2 linked regions of the Astyanax mexicanus genome follow. The protein of the gene in region 1 interacts with the protein of each later gene in a biochemical or structural test. Links are inferred from orthologs where the notes say so. Each region holds a gene or a part of one and is shown on either strand. Other genes may lie near its edges.

What was found. The genes of interacting proteins can lie anywhere in the genome.
Region 2: the proteins of col1a1a (region 1) and sparc form a complex in vitro, tested with the Homo sapiens proteins (2 studies listed by BioGRID). The link is inferred for Astyanax mexicanus from reciprocal best matches to the Homo sapiens genes COL1A1 and SPARC.

What each region holds. Positions count from the first base shown.
Region 1 is NC_064426.1:32,891,717-32,899,735, forward strand, and holds the start of col1a1a (collagen, type I, alpha 1a), read left to right. Parts: upstream 1-4,996; 5' UTR 4,997-5,128; coding exon 5,129-5,210; intron 5,211-7,166; coding exon 7,167-7,358; intron 7,359-8,019. UniProt on the Homo sapiens protein: Type I collagen is a member of group I collagen (fibrillar forming collagen).
Region 2 is NC_064417.1:39,221,934-39,228,837, reverse strand, and holds the start of sparc (SPARC), read left to right. Parts: upstream 1-3,878; 5' UTR 3,879-4,018; intron 4,019-6,904.

The DNA of each region.
Region 1 (8,019 bases):
AAAAACCTTCTTTTTTACAAGAGAATGAGAAACTTTTTGACCTTTAATAGACGTCATTGCATACAATTTGTTTTATGTCATTTTTGGAGCATTTCCATTGGTATATTCAGCATAAAAAATCAATGAAATGTAAAGAACAACTGCCATATTTACATTCAGTAGAAATACAAGGTTTTTGCATGAATGTAATTTGAAAGGTTTTTGCTATGTATTTGTTGAATGTTACAATTTGGTTTAAAGAACACAATACAGAAGTAATATATTAACCTTTTCATCTTTGTGCTATTATTTGTGCTCTTGAGCAAAGCCAGTAACCCTTTCTGCTCCTTTTGCTGCTTTTTTTTTGGAAAAAAACTAAAGCCATGAGCTTCAGATCAATGACTTAAATGGTCATCATGGTATGTTTTGTATGATGTGTCAGTACACTACAGTATATTGAGAGTCTAGGTTAACATATGTTGCCTTAAAGGGGACATCTTCTCCAGAGACGTCCATGCATTGTTCAACAAGACAATGCAAAACCCCACACTGCACACATTTTAAAGGCTGCAGAGCTGCAGAAAAAGGGGTTACGGGTAAAAGACTCAACTGTCTGCAGCCCTGACCTGTCCGCAATACAGAATGTGTGGAGAATTGAATTGAATTTATTTTATTAGAAACTGTTGCACACCTTAAAGCGTGTTTGCATGAAGAAATGTTCTGTATCATTAATGCCAAACATATTTTAAGTTTATATTTTTATTGGACAGATAAGAAAATCAATGTATCTTTTGTCTAATGCCGTGCCATGTCTGTAATAAACCCACTCTGCTAAAATTAAGCCTTATGAGCCCAATAATCGAAGTCCTCTCAGGAGTTCTATCTCTCCAGTCATCCCAGTGTCTTCTCCAGGTTGAATCCTTCCAAGTTCCCTGTGCTGTGTTTTGCTTGGCCCCCTCTCTGTCCTGCAGCCCATGCTGGTCTTGGACAATGTGCGAGCTCCCAGAAGGCCTTGCTCTCCCTGCCCAAACACTCACACTAATCTTTCTTCCACTGCTTCCATTTTCATTCATTTGCAAGTCCCCACTGTCCACTTCAAATCTTCTGTTTCTTTAGCTCTGATTGAAATATTCAAAATTGTTTAACACCAAAAAATAACACTCTCACAATCATGAGTCACATTCATCAGTCAACCTCATTAAACCACCTTCAGAAAACTTGCACAAAACTTCGATATGGTTTCATGGTTGATGCTGTAAATAGAGATATACTACAGAAAGCCCTACCCAACATCCCAACAACAACCACCTAAAAAAGAGACTTTAAAAAGGATCTTTAAAAAGAGGTGTAGACCCTTCAAACTCATTGATCCTTGAAGCAATTTTATACCATTTTCTGAAAATCCCCATTTAGTTCCTAAGAACTTGTAAAGAAAGATATTTTTATCATCTACAACCCAATGTACAGATCCTACACTACACAACCACAAATTACATGTCCGCCTTAATTTAAATGTGACCACATATATGTTGTTAGCTGAATTTTTCAGAAAGATGGTTCTTGGCATTACAGTAAAAACATGGTGGCAAACAAGGAATTTGTCATATATGCTTATAAAAAAGTAAGCCCATATTTTGTACTGCTGCTAACAATTTCATTACAGCTCTTTTCAGAGCAATGGTTCAAAAGAAAATCCAGAAAATCGGAATGGTATAAAATATTAGTCTAGTGTTTACCATACAAGGTCATTTTTATTTTTTAAAAGAGGGTGGTGGTGGTGGTTGAAGGGCTATTAATTTATTAAAGGCAATGAAGGTACTATACAACCATGACAACTTAAAGAACCAAAAATAAAAGAAATCTGACAGCACTCCCATTATATCCAAAAACATATTTATTCACAGATAGTCAAAGATAGATTAAATATTTTAGACACGCCAACCAATCTGGCAGTCTATATGTAGCAGAGTAGCAGAGGCAACTTACAGCCATAATTCATCACCTTCCACATCCTCCATTTAAAATATACAAATATTTATATAAATAATAATCAGAATAATAAAATATTAAACTTCAAGGTCTTATTAACTTATTTTCAAAGCAACTATAACCACACAGATAAGCATATGTTTATTTATTTTTTTTAATTAAAAACAATTCCACTTACCATCTGAAAAAAAAGAGGAAAAAAATATTAAATTAGAGAAATCAAAGTCAACCTGCAATCTTTTGATTGATAAATACATTAACTTATACTGTAAAAGCTTTTTGTTTCAGTGTCTCAGACAAAAAAAAGAAAAATGTTTTGACATGATTGTTTTTGTGATTTGGGGTCAATGGAAAATGAACTATTCCTTTTAATGTAATTTGAACTTGAAATACATAAGTAATGTAAAGTCTTAAAATCCTGAAATAATAAAAAAGGTGCAAAGGAAACAAGCTCATATTCATAAAGTTTTAAAAGTTTGGAAATCTGAAATATGGTGGAATAACCCTGGTTTTTTAATCACAGTTTTCATGCACATTGACATGTTCTCCTCCACCAATCTTACACACTGCTTTTTGATAAATTTATGCCACTCCTAGTACAAAAAATCAAGCAGTTCAGCATAATTTGATGGCTTGTAATCATCCATCTTCCTCTTGATTATATTTTCAGAGGTTTTCAGTTTGGTAAAATCAAAGAAACTCATTGTTTTTAAGTGTTTTTTTCTAGAGCTGTATGTGATTTTATTTCAAGTTGTTTTGGAACATTTATTTTGGTCTACTCATCATGGCACTTTGACACAATGTTAAAAAAACTGAAAGATTTAAAAAGTTTTTTAGATTTTTGACACTTTTTACCAATGCATAAATGAGCACTAAAGTATATATTTCTTGATTTTTAAAAATACACATTAAACACCTAACACTAAAAAAAATCACTGTTAGACAAAACTACAAACCACAATAGTGTTCTGCAGACTTATTCAGTCTTTTCACTTTTCACTGGTTTTGCTTTATGCTTTTTTTTTGTCATTTTCTGACGAATAATTTCAGTTGCCAAATATAGGGTTTAGTTGCTTATTACCATGTGAACCGCCGCTAACCTGATTTACTTTAATAAATTAACTGAACTGAGTAATGAAGTAGCCAGTTAATTTAAATGGTTTGATGAACCATGTGTTGTGTTGTATCTGTAGGCGTGTGAATTTTAATAGGAAATGGTTAAGATAACACTTAAACATAGATTAATACATTTCTGCTCAGATAAACAACTTATCTTATTATTTTCTCCCATATCTAAAGATTTCTTACACATCTCACACCTTCTCTAAACGTCTCTGAACGACTAGAGTAAACGTGAGCAGAACAGTAGCTCTCCTCTCCACACTGACCCTGAAGCACCTGAAGGCGATGAGGTGGCGTTTTCCCTCAGAGAAGCTCGCGCTGCTTTCATCTGCGTTGTTTTAAGCGAAAAAAAGCGTCTTGGATTCTTGGATGGGGTGAAGAATGAGGGGGAGAGAGGAGCGCTGTGATTGGCCAGCCGCGCAGATGCGACGTGTCTGCGGAAGAGAGAGAGAGATGGAGCGCTGCTGAAGCCAAGGAGCTCGCGCGCGTTTTATTTTATTTTTTAATAATAGCACTGCGCGTGCGCGTTTATTGCGTCGTGGCTGTAGTGATGGGTCAGCAGCATCTTCATTTATATACATCTATATTCACTATATATATATATTATATGTTTATAACTAACTTTAAAACTGATTTTAGTGATTTTTGGTATCATGTGATGATGCATGTCTACAATGTGGGAGCAGCAGCTCTGCTTTGGAGCCACGTAGACCGACTGACTGCCTAGTCACACAGTCAGTCCCCCAGACATGCAATTGATGAAATGAAGACTGTTTATGTGCAGAAAACTGGGAGTGAACTGGGAATAAAGAAGGTCTGGGCGTATGAGTGAAAAAGTGCTTCATTCTTGGTGGTATTAAAATAAAAAAAATGATTGCATTAAATGTAAAGACAAAATATTTATATTATAGAGTAAATGTTTATTAAGCCAAATCCATTATGCACTATATTAGACTAATATCTAGATGCCTGAGTTTTTTCCACATTAAAAATGTATACAATTTATTATTATAGATTTGGGATTTATCTTGGTCTGATAAATAGGCTGGATCCTGGAAATTAAGCCCATGAATAAATGTGTACTTCCAAATGAAGTCAATTTACAGACTCTATTTACCTTTTATGAAAAAGTCTTCACACTGTTAAAATCCAACATAGCAAATTATACCAAGTTGATTTGGGCTAAAAATGAATAAATAAACAAAAGTCTATAAACAATACATTTTACTTTATAGCAGAAAGAGTGCATTAAAAATAAGGGCAAAATAAATCATTTCCCTCTTTGAGAAACTGCTCCTTATTAATGTTGTGTATTCCAGGGTTAAACTTAAGTCACCTCTGAGAAACCCCACAATTGCAAATATATGAGATGTCATTGAACTGATTAAATTAAATCTCAAAATCTTTCAATATGGTGACATAAATGTATCACATGTATGCATTTATGAATAAACATCCACAGCTAATAGACAAAACCATACCATGCATATTCTGATACCAAGCAAGCAGAGCCCAGAAGAAGAATAAACGTGTCGAAATTCAACAACAACAATGCACTCCATCCCATCTTGGCTTCTGTTGAATAAGGTGAGAAGAAAGTAAGAAGGTAAGAAGGTTCAGGCCTGCCTGCCTCCTCTATCCAACTGAACCAAAGCTGGCTTTTTGGTTTGCTTAACCCCTTAGATTTTCTCTCTAAAAGATCAAGTTTCCCAGTTTCTTTAGATGCTAGGGTGAAGCAAGCAAAAAAAGAAAAAGAAAAAGACGAGTTCTGGAGACAGCCCCTCCGTCTGGTGAAGGAGGGTCCGTTTTTTTTCCTCCTCTCCTGTTAAACGGGAACATGCCTGAGCTCTGTGGAGCGCCCGGCACCTCCCCAAAAGTTTGGAGTATAAAAGCGTGGGGGAAAAGTGCGTTTAGGCAGTAGGGAGTTTCTGCTGGGGTCTGGACTGGAGTCAGAGAAGACCGGACCCTACTGTGTATGATTGGAGTCTAAAAAAGAACTTCCCTCGCCTCAAAGAGTCTACATGTCTAATATTTAGACATGTTCAGCTTTGTGGATATTCGGCTGGCGCTGTTGCTCGGTGCAACAGTGCTTTTGGCAAGGGGGCAAGGCGAGGACGACCGTGAGTATCTTCTCTATCTTCACATCCAGCTTCTTTTTCTTCTTGATTAGGACTTTGACTGGGTAGGATGGGCTGCCTTTGGGGGGAAAAGCAAAAAAAAAAAGGGCAGAGTGAGGGCAGTGAGGGGTTGCCAGGGATGCCAAGCTCTGGGGAAGCTTGTATCTATCTCTATGCTATGCTATTTTAAACATGAGGGGAGGAAGAACAGCAACTTCAGTGATTGAAAGTTGAAGGTGCAGGAGATTCACTAGGAGTATCACTATGTTGAGAGTCTGTCTTCAAGAGCTTGCTTGCTTGCATGCATGGAGGCAAGTTGGCACAGGCTTAGAGACTCGTCCACCCTCCCAACACCCCTCCTTTAGCTACTCTCCATGCTTAACATTAGTGATGCCCTGGAGCTATGCTTTAGTTCAACAGCTGCAAAATAATGTACAGAGGGGTAAAAAAACAGTAAAAAAGTAAAAGTGCTAAAGCACATATGGATTTATAGCTTATACAGTGTTGTTTAGCTGTGTATTGTTTGTAATAAAGTGTTTACATGTTTGATCTAAACCAGAAACTACCAAAAAAAATCTGATTTAGCTAAAAAAAAACCCGACTCGTTTGGAGTCTTTAGTTCTACTAGTCTAAAGTCGACATCCACCACGTAACTCGTTGGAACTTTTGAGGTTTAGGTTTTTCTCCCATGGAAAAAGTGATGAGCTCATCTTTGGACCATGACTATGTCATGCTAAACAAGGAGATCAGAACATTAAAAAAACTAAAGTGATGTTAAAAAGCTATTTATTTATCTTAGAATTTGGGGGGAACTACTTAACATTAGTTGTTTAACATGGTAGAAACTTTTTCTTGTCTTCAGATTCCTTCACACAAAAAGAGCTACCCGTCCAGACATCTGCAATTGTCCTTAACGCTTTGAGAAGCGCAATTGCAGTCCTGCAGCGCCTCCTAGCGATCAGGTTTGGGACTGGCCTGCTTTTTGGCAGCAGCCTCAGCAGAGCCCCCACCCCGCCTCTGGTGTTTTTATGATAATGTAAAACACATGTGGGCTTTGCAGACTTTCCACTAAGGGAAAACGCATGTTGCTGCCAAGCCGACGGGTTTCGATTATTTTATGACATACAGTGAACCCCGAAAGACGTGGACCTTTTCCCTCCTGAGCCTTTTCCCCTTGCTTTACAAAAGGGAAAGGCATTGTTAGATAGAGCGCCATCAAGAGTCACAATGATGACATTACATATAGCCGATCTGGCTAAAAGTCGCTGATGAATGAATTTGAATGGATTGGAGCATTGAGCTCAATAATAATAAAAAAAAAAACAGATGATGAGATTTGTGTGCAAGCGTAGGACGAAAATAAAATATACAGTTAGTGCCTTAAAAAAATTAAATTAAATAAAAAACAACAGAAGAATCAGCAGTTAAAGTGGACCCTGCGCTTTAGAAAATATACTTTTAGACCTTTTTTGCGGAAACATTTTTTCCTATCCGTATTTAGTCTTCACATTTTTACATTAAAATTATTTGAAAATTATTTTTTGTTTGTTTGTTTTGCGAAAAAATAATATAGGCTATAAATAGCTAGAATAATATTCTTGATTTCAGGCCTATCATCGCCAATAATTGCATTAAAAATAAAAACAATATGAGCAGTGATAGCAATGATTGTGAATTTGGTGCAATTAAAAAATATATCCATGTTATAGATAGTATTGATATATTATTAATTTATTTAATTATTATTTTAATGATTATAATGTACATTTGGGATTGTTTATGTAAGGCAGCTATGTATATATTCTTCTGCCTTACAAAACAATAATAAACGAAATAATAAAATAAATTAAAGAATGATCAAAATCATTTGTTTAAATGTGTTTGCGAACGCTTATTACAAAAAAAAATAATTAAGTAACACGCTTTAACGTGTTTTTCTTATTTTATTTGTGTCCTTAGGCACAGGCAGCAGCTGTACGTTGGACGGCCAGGTCTACAATGACCGGGACGTGTGGAAACCGGAGCCCTGCCAGATCTGCGTGTGCGACAGCGGCACGGTCATGTGCGACGAGGTGATCTGCGAGGACACCAGCGACTGCGCCAATCCGATCATCCCCCCAGATGAGTGCTGCCCTGTCTGCCCTGATGACGGTACGGAAGCCCGCTCTAAAGCCCCGCCCACCCGCCTGTATCGTGGGAAGTTAATTGGGAAAATTACAACAGCGGTTTTTCCAAGCGGATTTCAGATTTGTCTGGCCTTCGTTTTGTGGAGATCCCTTCCTTTTTCCCCTCTCTGGATTAATTAAATGCTGCCTCAGGTTCTTTGTAGAGCTTTTAGGGGTTCTTCAGTTTGAAACAGTGCTTCAAGGAACCTTCAGGAAACATTTATCCTCAAAGCACCTTAATATAAGGGGTTCCTCCAGAGATTCTAATTGAAGAACCCCTAAAAAGTCCCCCACTGAAAAGTACACTTTGGGTGTCCAGTCTTATCCACAAGGAACAGCTGGAATGGCTGGCTGCAGGCCTTTCATTCAGATCAAGCTGCAGCACGCCTGAGCACTCACTTGTTTGCACTGGTTGAATCAGTTGCTTTCAGTCAAACTACTGAACTTCTGATCAGGTGTGGTGTGCCTGCCCCTGGCTCTGCTAGAATGAATGAATGAAACCCTCCCTCCATCCTGCCTCGTGGATGAGACCTGACACCCCCTAGCCTCGACCCCTTGGCTTTTTACCACACTTAGTGATCCAGGGGACAGATACAGGTCAAAAGGTCATGTGACATGCAGCATGCTGTTATTTATGAGGCTTAGCA
Region 2 (6,904 bases), on another chromosome or scaffold:
GCTATCTTTAAGAAACTCATGAAGACAGAGCTCTTCAAAGAGCACTTACTCTCTTAACACCTCTAACACACTAACTACTTCTAACCTCATTTCCTTCTTCCCCTCCTTCACTCCTCTATCCTATTATTCCCCTTTGACCTCCTTTTATCCCTATCCAAAGATGTTTTACCTTTAAACTTATTTTACATTGTACTTGACTATTGTAAGTTGCTTTGGACAAAAGCGTCTGCCAAATGTAATGTAATGTAATCTATGTGGAAACGTGCACCCAAAGTGTAATAACGGTGCGTGGCAGTGGACAAATAGCTATTTTATTAAACACAACATGACGAAACTGGACGGGACTTAAATTCAGAGAAAAATAGTAGGTAATTTAGCCTGTAATTTTCACAGAGGACGTCTGAGAAAAATGCATACATAGTCAGACGATGAAAAGAAAATGATCATAAGACCCCTATCCACTATCCAGGAAACCACTTACCTTGAAAAATGAATAGCTTGTAATGAATGAAAATGAAATAGTTATAATCTGATATTTACACTGAAAGCAAACTACATACATTTCATAAAGGGCAAACTAAGGGCAAAACTGTATTATACCATGCCTTTTACCACCTACAGTATGTACCAGCACAGCTAATCTTTTCCAGGGAGTCCCATAAATTATCACCTGACACAGTTCAGGTGCTGCTGCCCTTGATCTGCAGATGCTAGCTGGTATAATTACACCTAATTGTAATTAGAATGAGGGGATATAATGGTGGGGGTTCCAGAAAGCAGATAGCCATGTGAAGACTTGTTAGGCTTCATAGACAGCGCCACGTCTGCAGCTCCAGAGAGCCTGAGTAATTACACCTCCTCCACCACGGCCTGCTCCCACTCCAGCTCACTCTGTCTGCCGCAGCCAGGATGGAAAATGCCACGTTGCATAGCTGCTGTTTTTTCCAGCATTTTCTCATCCAGATGTTTCTCTCCTTACTCGTCCACAGGGCTGGGAGAGGACAGACATTAGCAATCCATAGCAGAGCGGCAATCGGTACTGAACCAGTGTGTGTAAGGCAGAGAAGCTGAAGCTACAGTACATTGAACAGCTGCTGTGATTACTTTAGCCTGATGTACTTTCAGCAACCCACAGTACACACACACACACACACACACACACACACACACACACAGACAGATAGACAGAACAGTAAGAATGGACTGAGGAATTTGATTCTGTGACTGGGATTTTAAAGAATTGAACCACGTAGCATTCATTTTTTAACAGTTCAACCCAAATGACATGTATCTATATCATCTACTGTATGCCTGACAATATTACACACACTTTTATATGAAGTAAAACGATTGCGAGTGTGTTTTCTGAAGCAAAATAAGTTACGATTATTTTAGAAAGAGTCACATGAGGTCATGCGTTTACTCTTTCATCCACAGGGACACTGCTTACAGGCAGTGCTGTCAGTTAATACATGTATTTGACTCTGATTGGACAAGCCGTAATAGAGTTTTCCAGTCTTTTTATTATTTCTATTTGCTTTATTTTCCTTTTGATGGGAGTCATAAGACATTCATTTACCTTACTGAAGCATTGTGTTGTGTTGTTGTGCTTGTGTACACACAGCTTCCCTGACTATGGACAATGCCAGAATTGCTGTGGGGTAATAAAGCATTGTGTGCCTTTAACATAAAGTGCTACTAGATTCTGTATTCTTATCATGAGCGTATCTAGTCCATTTTTAGGGGTGCTTAAGTACTCATAAAAAACCTGTTCCACCACCCCTAGAAGTGAAAGCAAAAGTTATTTTTTTCTTTTTTTTTAAAGAAGTGTGTCTCTGATAAGCTAAAACATTTAAAATCTTAGAAAGTCTATCATTAAAAATAATTTTAATAATGAAAATATAACAGTGCAATATGCCTACCATAAAAATGGTATGATCCACTTTAATTCTACTTTGCCGAGCATGCACGCACACACTGTACTGTTATACTGTATTTATTTTTTTATTTTATTTAGTAAGCTATTGCTTAAACCTGACAATCACCAAAACTCTCCAGTGTTTAAACTGTAGTAAAAGAAGCTAGCTGAGAGAATAAGGTGAAAATAAATGATGGGATTTCATTGGCCAGCATGAGCAGATACCCTGAAATTCCATACTGGGTTTTAAGTAGCTATCCTGCTTTTAACTGTTTAAATTACACCAGTATTTTATTCTCTTTGGTAACACAGATTCCCTGAAGTATTTTAGAGAATTGTCTTGTGATATATTGAGTATTGTAGAATCTCAGGATTGTGATATCATCATGATAATGGACAACATATCATGATCATGTTGTACCATAAGATGCTCTGTGATTCCCACCACTAATTCCAACATACATTAGAATAACCAATAGGAGAGCTTTCTCCACCAACAAACAAAAGCAGCTGTCCCTGTTCATTTAAACTCATTCTGTGGTGTCTTTCTTGCTCTTTTTTTGCTAACAAACTTCTGCACACACAAAGACAGCTGTGGCTAAAAGCTGCTTCTGTTTGTGCTCCATTGTTTAACAGATTCTCGTAAATGTCAAGCAGGAGAATGATGGGGAATGATCTCAAAAGCATCTAGTTGCAGACTTGTAATTATTGACTCTGCAGGATTTTAAGTTGGCAGAGCAATTTTTAATTTTAATTTGCAGAGCAGTGACAGATTGTCAGTCTTTAGTCTTGTACTTTTCCAGTGTAGGTTTGGCATTAGAAGCCCAGCATTGAAATGGAAGATATGTTACAATTCTCACCAAAAACTTTATATCTCTATATCTCTATATCTATCTAGTTTTCCTTTTTTAAAATTAAATATTTTTTTGCATTTTGTTACAATTTCACAACAAACTATCCAACAAAAATGGTACCAAAATGAACAGCTAAAATATATTATATATATATATATATATATATATTTTACATTAACTTTAGTTCGTTAGGAATGTGTTTTGTTTCTTATGAACATCTATTATTTGAACATTTTTGTTCAATATTGTGAAATATTATTTAAAAAAAAAACTATGATATATAAAATACTTATTATAGTCAGATTAGTATATTTTTGCTTGAATTGGATTATTTTGTGAAAGTGGGTGTGTTTTAATATCAGTGTATAGCAAAGTATTGTAATACTCTCTTTATATTATGAAATACAGCATTTGCTCCATTTAGTATGTTTCTTTTAACTGTCAAATTAATATTTTGGAAATATATGGCTTTATTTTAGTGTTAGTAATATTTTATTATATATTTTTAAAATATATATTTTATATTATGATGTTATAAAATTCCCTATTTACTACATTGTGTATGTTCTTTGTTTATTCTGTAAAGTTATAATATGGTAAATTTAGGTTGTTCCAACAGCACTGGTATTGTGAGATACTCCATCACTCTTTATGATTCTTTACTCAAATCAAACCTGAATACCCAATACCCTGAATGCCCAAACTGCTATTTTAGCAATCTCCCAAACATACAACATTGTAATTGTGTATTGCACACACTATTTACTGTACATATGAATAGTATTAGTTATACCTGCCCAAGAGAATTACAATGTTAAATATATCATCAGTGTTAATAGGTACCCTGTTAGCGCTCGTATATGTATACAAACCTGACTAATCCTAAATCCTTTAGCAAGTCCACAACCCCACAGTTAAAACAGCATATTAAATCTACAACTAAATTTACTTTCTTTAAATAATAGTGTTTCCAGGCATTTACAAATAAATGTGAAATTTATTCTGTTTTTCTGTGTGGACAGCAGGCAAACATGCATAGCAGACCTGATTTGCATGGGATTAAGACCCTGTAGCTGGATACATAGAGTTAACTGTGGGACGTCCCACTCCAGCGGAGCTCCAGGAGGGGGGTTAGCAGGGCCAGCCCACTGCAAATGTCTTAGAGAACTTGTGTTGCTGTTAGATAGTTCCAGACCCCTGCACCAGCTGACTTCTCCTTTTGGCTTCTCGGTTCGCCGAACAGAAGGTAAGAACTCTGCACCCCATCATCCCTACCTTTACCTCAGTCTTTGTTAAAACTGCTAAAAGAAGACAAATGTAATTTATTTTACATCACTGATCATCATTTAATGCTTTGTGTAGAAATCAGTGATAGGTCCTAAAAGACAGTCACACATTCTTATACTAAAGTTTTTTTTTTTAGAAATTATTTTTTGTTCTTGCTTTTTTTTGCATCATTATTGCTTTATTATATGTATATATGTATATTTATTATATGTAGTAGATTTTAAAAGGCTAAAGGTGAATGCGTTTTTGGGTCATGTGGGTTTATTTGTTTATTCTAGTGTTACAGATTCAGATCTGATTCATATTTATCTAAATCTAGTTCTGGACTACACTGTTAAAAATAAGGATGCTACAAATAGTTCTATGAATGATGCCACAACAGAACCACTTTTGGATCCAAAAATAACCGTGTTTATATAAGGGATTAATGTAAAAGTGTGGAAAACCTTTTAAATAGGTAAAGAACCTTTATTTTTACATTAATAATGATTCTGTATACACTTCTTGTAGACATCTCTATTACAAACATGATTATTAATGTAACAAAACTGATTCTAACTCAAAGAACCCTTGGTAGTGACTTTATTTTTAATAGTGTATTTTCAGTCACGGTTCAGACTGGACCATGCAGTATGGGACAAGCCTTAATCCCTTTCTTGGGAACCCAGATCCCAGCATTCAATTCACAAGCGCTGTAATAAAGTTGGTAAAGCTTTTCCCCTGCAGAGCTCATCTCAATTTAATGATGACACCCACTTACTTTAAGGGTGAGGAGCACACTGTAGCAACGTATTGTGCCACATAGGCAACAGAAGAGGAGAACACAGAGGTGTGGGGAGAAGGGGGGAGGGGAGATCAAGCTACAAAGCCTGTGAGAGAGAGAGAGAGAGAGAGAGAGAGAGAGAGAGAGAGAGAAAGAGAGAAGGGGGGGGGTCTGTTTTCGCCTCCCCAAGTTCCCTCCCCTCCCCTTCACTTACTCCCATCAAAAGGAATGTGAGTTGCCATGGAAGTTCTCACCAGCTGTTGAGGCCTGCTTAAATTGTACAGATGTCTATTCTCTTGACAAACAAGAACTTCGTGAGAACACACTGAGCATCCACAGCTGCCGGAAGGGCTGCTGTCGTTAAAGACAGAAAAAAAGTTGGCTGGTGGCATAAAAAAAGAAAGAAAAAAAAAAACAGATACTGCATATATTTTAGCAAATATTTTTAGACAGTATATAGTTAGAATAATAGATAAACACAAAAATAATTGATTAACCATTAAAGGTAAACAATTCCTAATTTTGTTTTATGACTATTTTATGCCACTGATATAATTATAATATAATAGCATAGTAGTACATTTACATATTAAGTTTAAAGGGCATACAACTTTTAAATTATAATTTTGTTCAAATAATATTCAGACATTGGAACTGGAATATGAACCTTATATATACATAAAAATATATCTTAATAAATACATTTTTTAAAACTACTTAAAAAATGTCAATATATCCTAACCCTAAATAAACACAATGGGAATTATTGAGGTCAGCGAAAATTGTATTAAGGTCATGTTATCATTATGTAACCGTAAATCAATTATTATGTACTTATTGGAACTGTTTTATGACAGATGTTTAATTTCTCCTACTAATTTATTTTAAAATAGAAAATAAATACAACTGTAAAAAAGTGCAAAAATAGGCTAAAAGTGCCTTGAAAATCCGGCAGGAATACTGTAAAATTTTATTGAAAGTTAAACAGCTTAATCAATTTCTCTACATACTGCTTTGATAATAGAATAAAGATGTTCGCTAAGAGTTCCCACATGTTTCAGAAGCTGCAAAAAGTTCAAAACAAGCCCAGGACACAACAAGCCCACAGAAAAGTGTGGCATCCCTAAAACACTTGAGGAAAAAAACCCTTTGGACAGTCAGCACAGGGCTGTTGCCCATATTCCACCAGATGTCAATTCGAGTGACGCAAACATGTGAATGGAAACATTTAACCAAAGTTTGAGCAGCTTTAGAGCAGCAGTGAGTAAAAAAACAGCAAACAGAAGTAAGCAGCATCAGCCAGAAAAAAAAAACAAAAAAACAAAACAGAAATAGACTCTCAGGGTTGCAGTGGAAGGCCGGGTGAGAAAGAGAAGAAGAGTTGTGGTTCACAGAAAGGAGATCCAATGGGAGTCTGACCAGTAGATAAAGCCAGACACTTGGCATGAAACCAGAGTGAACCCATGATTTATAAACAGTATAAAGAGCACCAACCGACAATCAAGCTACCGTTTAAAAAGCTAGAAAGGTTAGCTGAGGATAATTTAAAGCATTTAATCATGGTAACAAAAACAATTAAGGCAAATCTAAGATGCATCTCTTGATCTGAAGCTTCTTATCAGTGGTCTCAGCTACACATCTGAGAATTTTCCACCAAATTTTGGAGTCATTACAGCTTTAAAATGCTTAACACTAGAACACAAGGTTCTAGTTTAAGGTATATAAAACTGTTATTAAATTGGGATTAAAGAAATGTAGAATTGGCTTATATACAGGGTTTAAGTTAAGGGTTAAGTTATAACAAAACAATTATTATTTTCTGACAATATACTCTGTAATAAGAAAACATGAAAACTATCTTTAGTTAAGATTTGAAAATGTAAGATTTAAAGTAAGATTTTAAGCTTAAAAATATATGTTTCTTAATTAAAATGTAAGAATGTGTGCTTGATCAAATCCGGCATGCTTTTCTATAGTTTAGGAGCTAAACACTGTAATATGATACTTTGGGTAGATTGAGAATTTTCATTTCCACAGACAGTTGTTGTTCTTTTGGCTAAGCTCTACAAACCGGATGGAAGC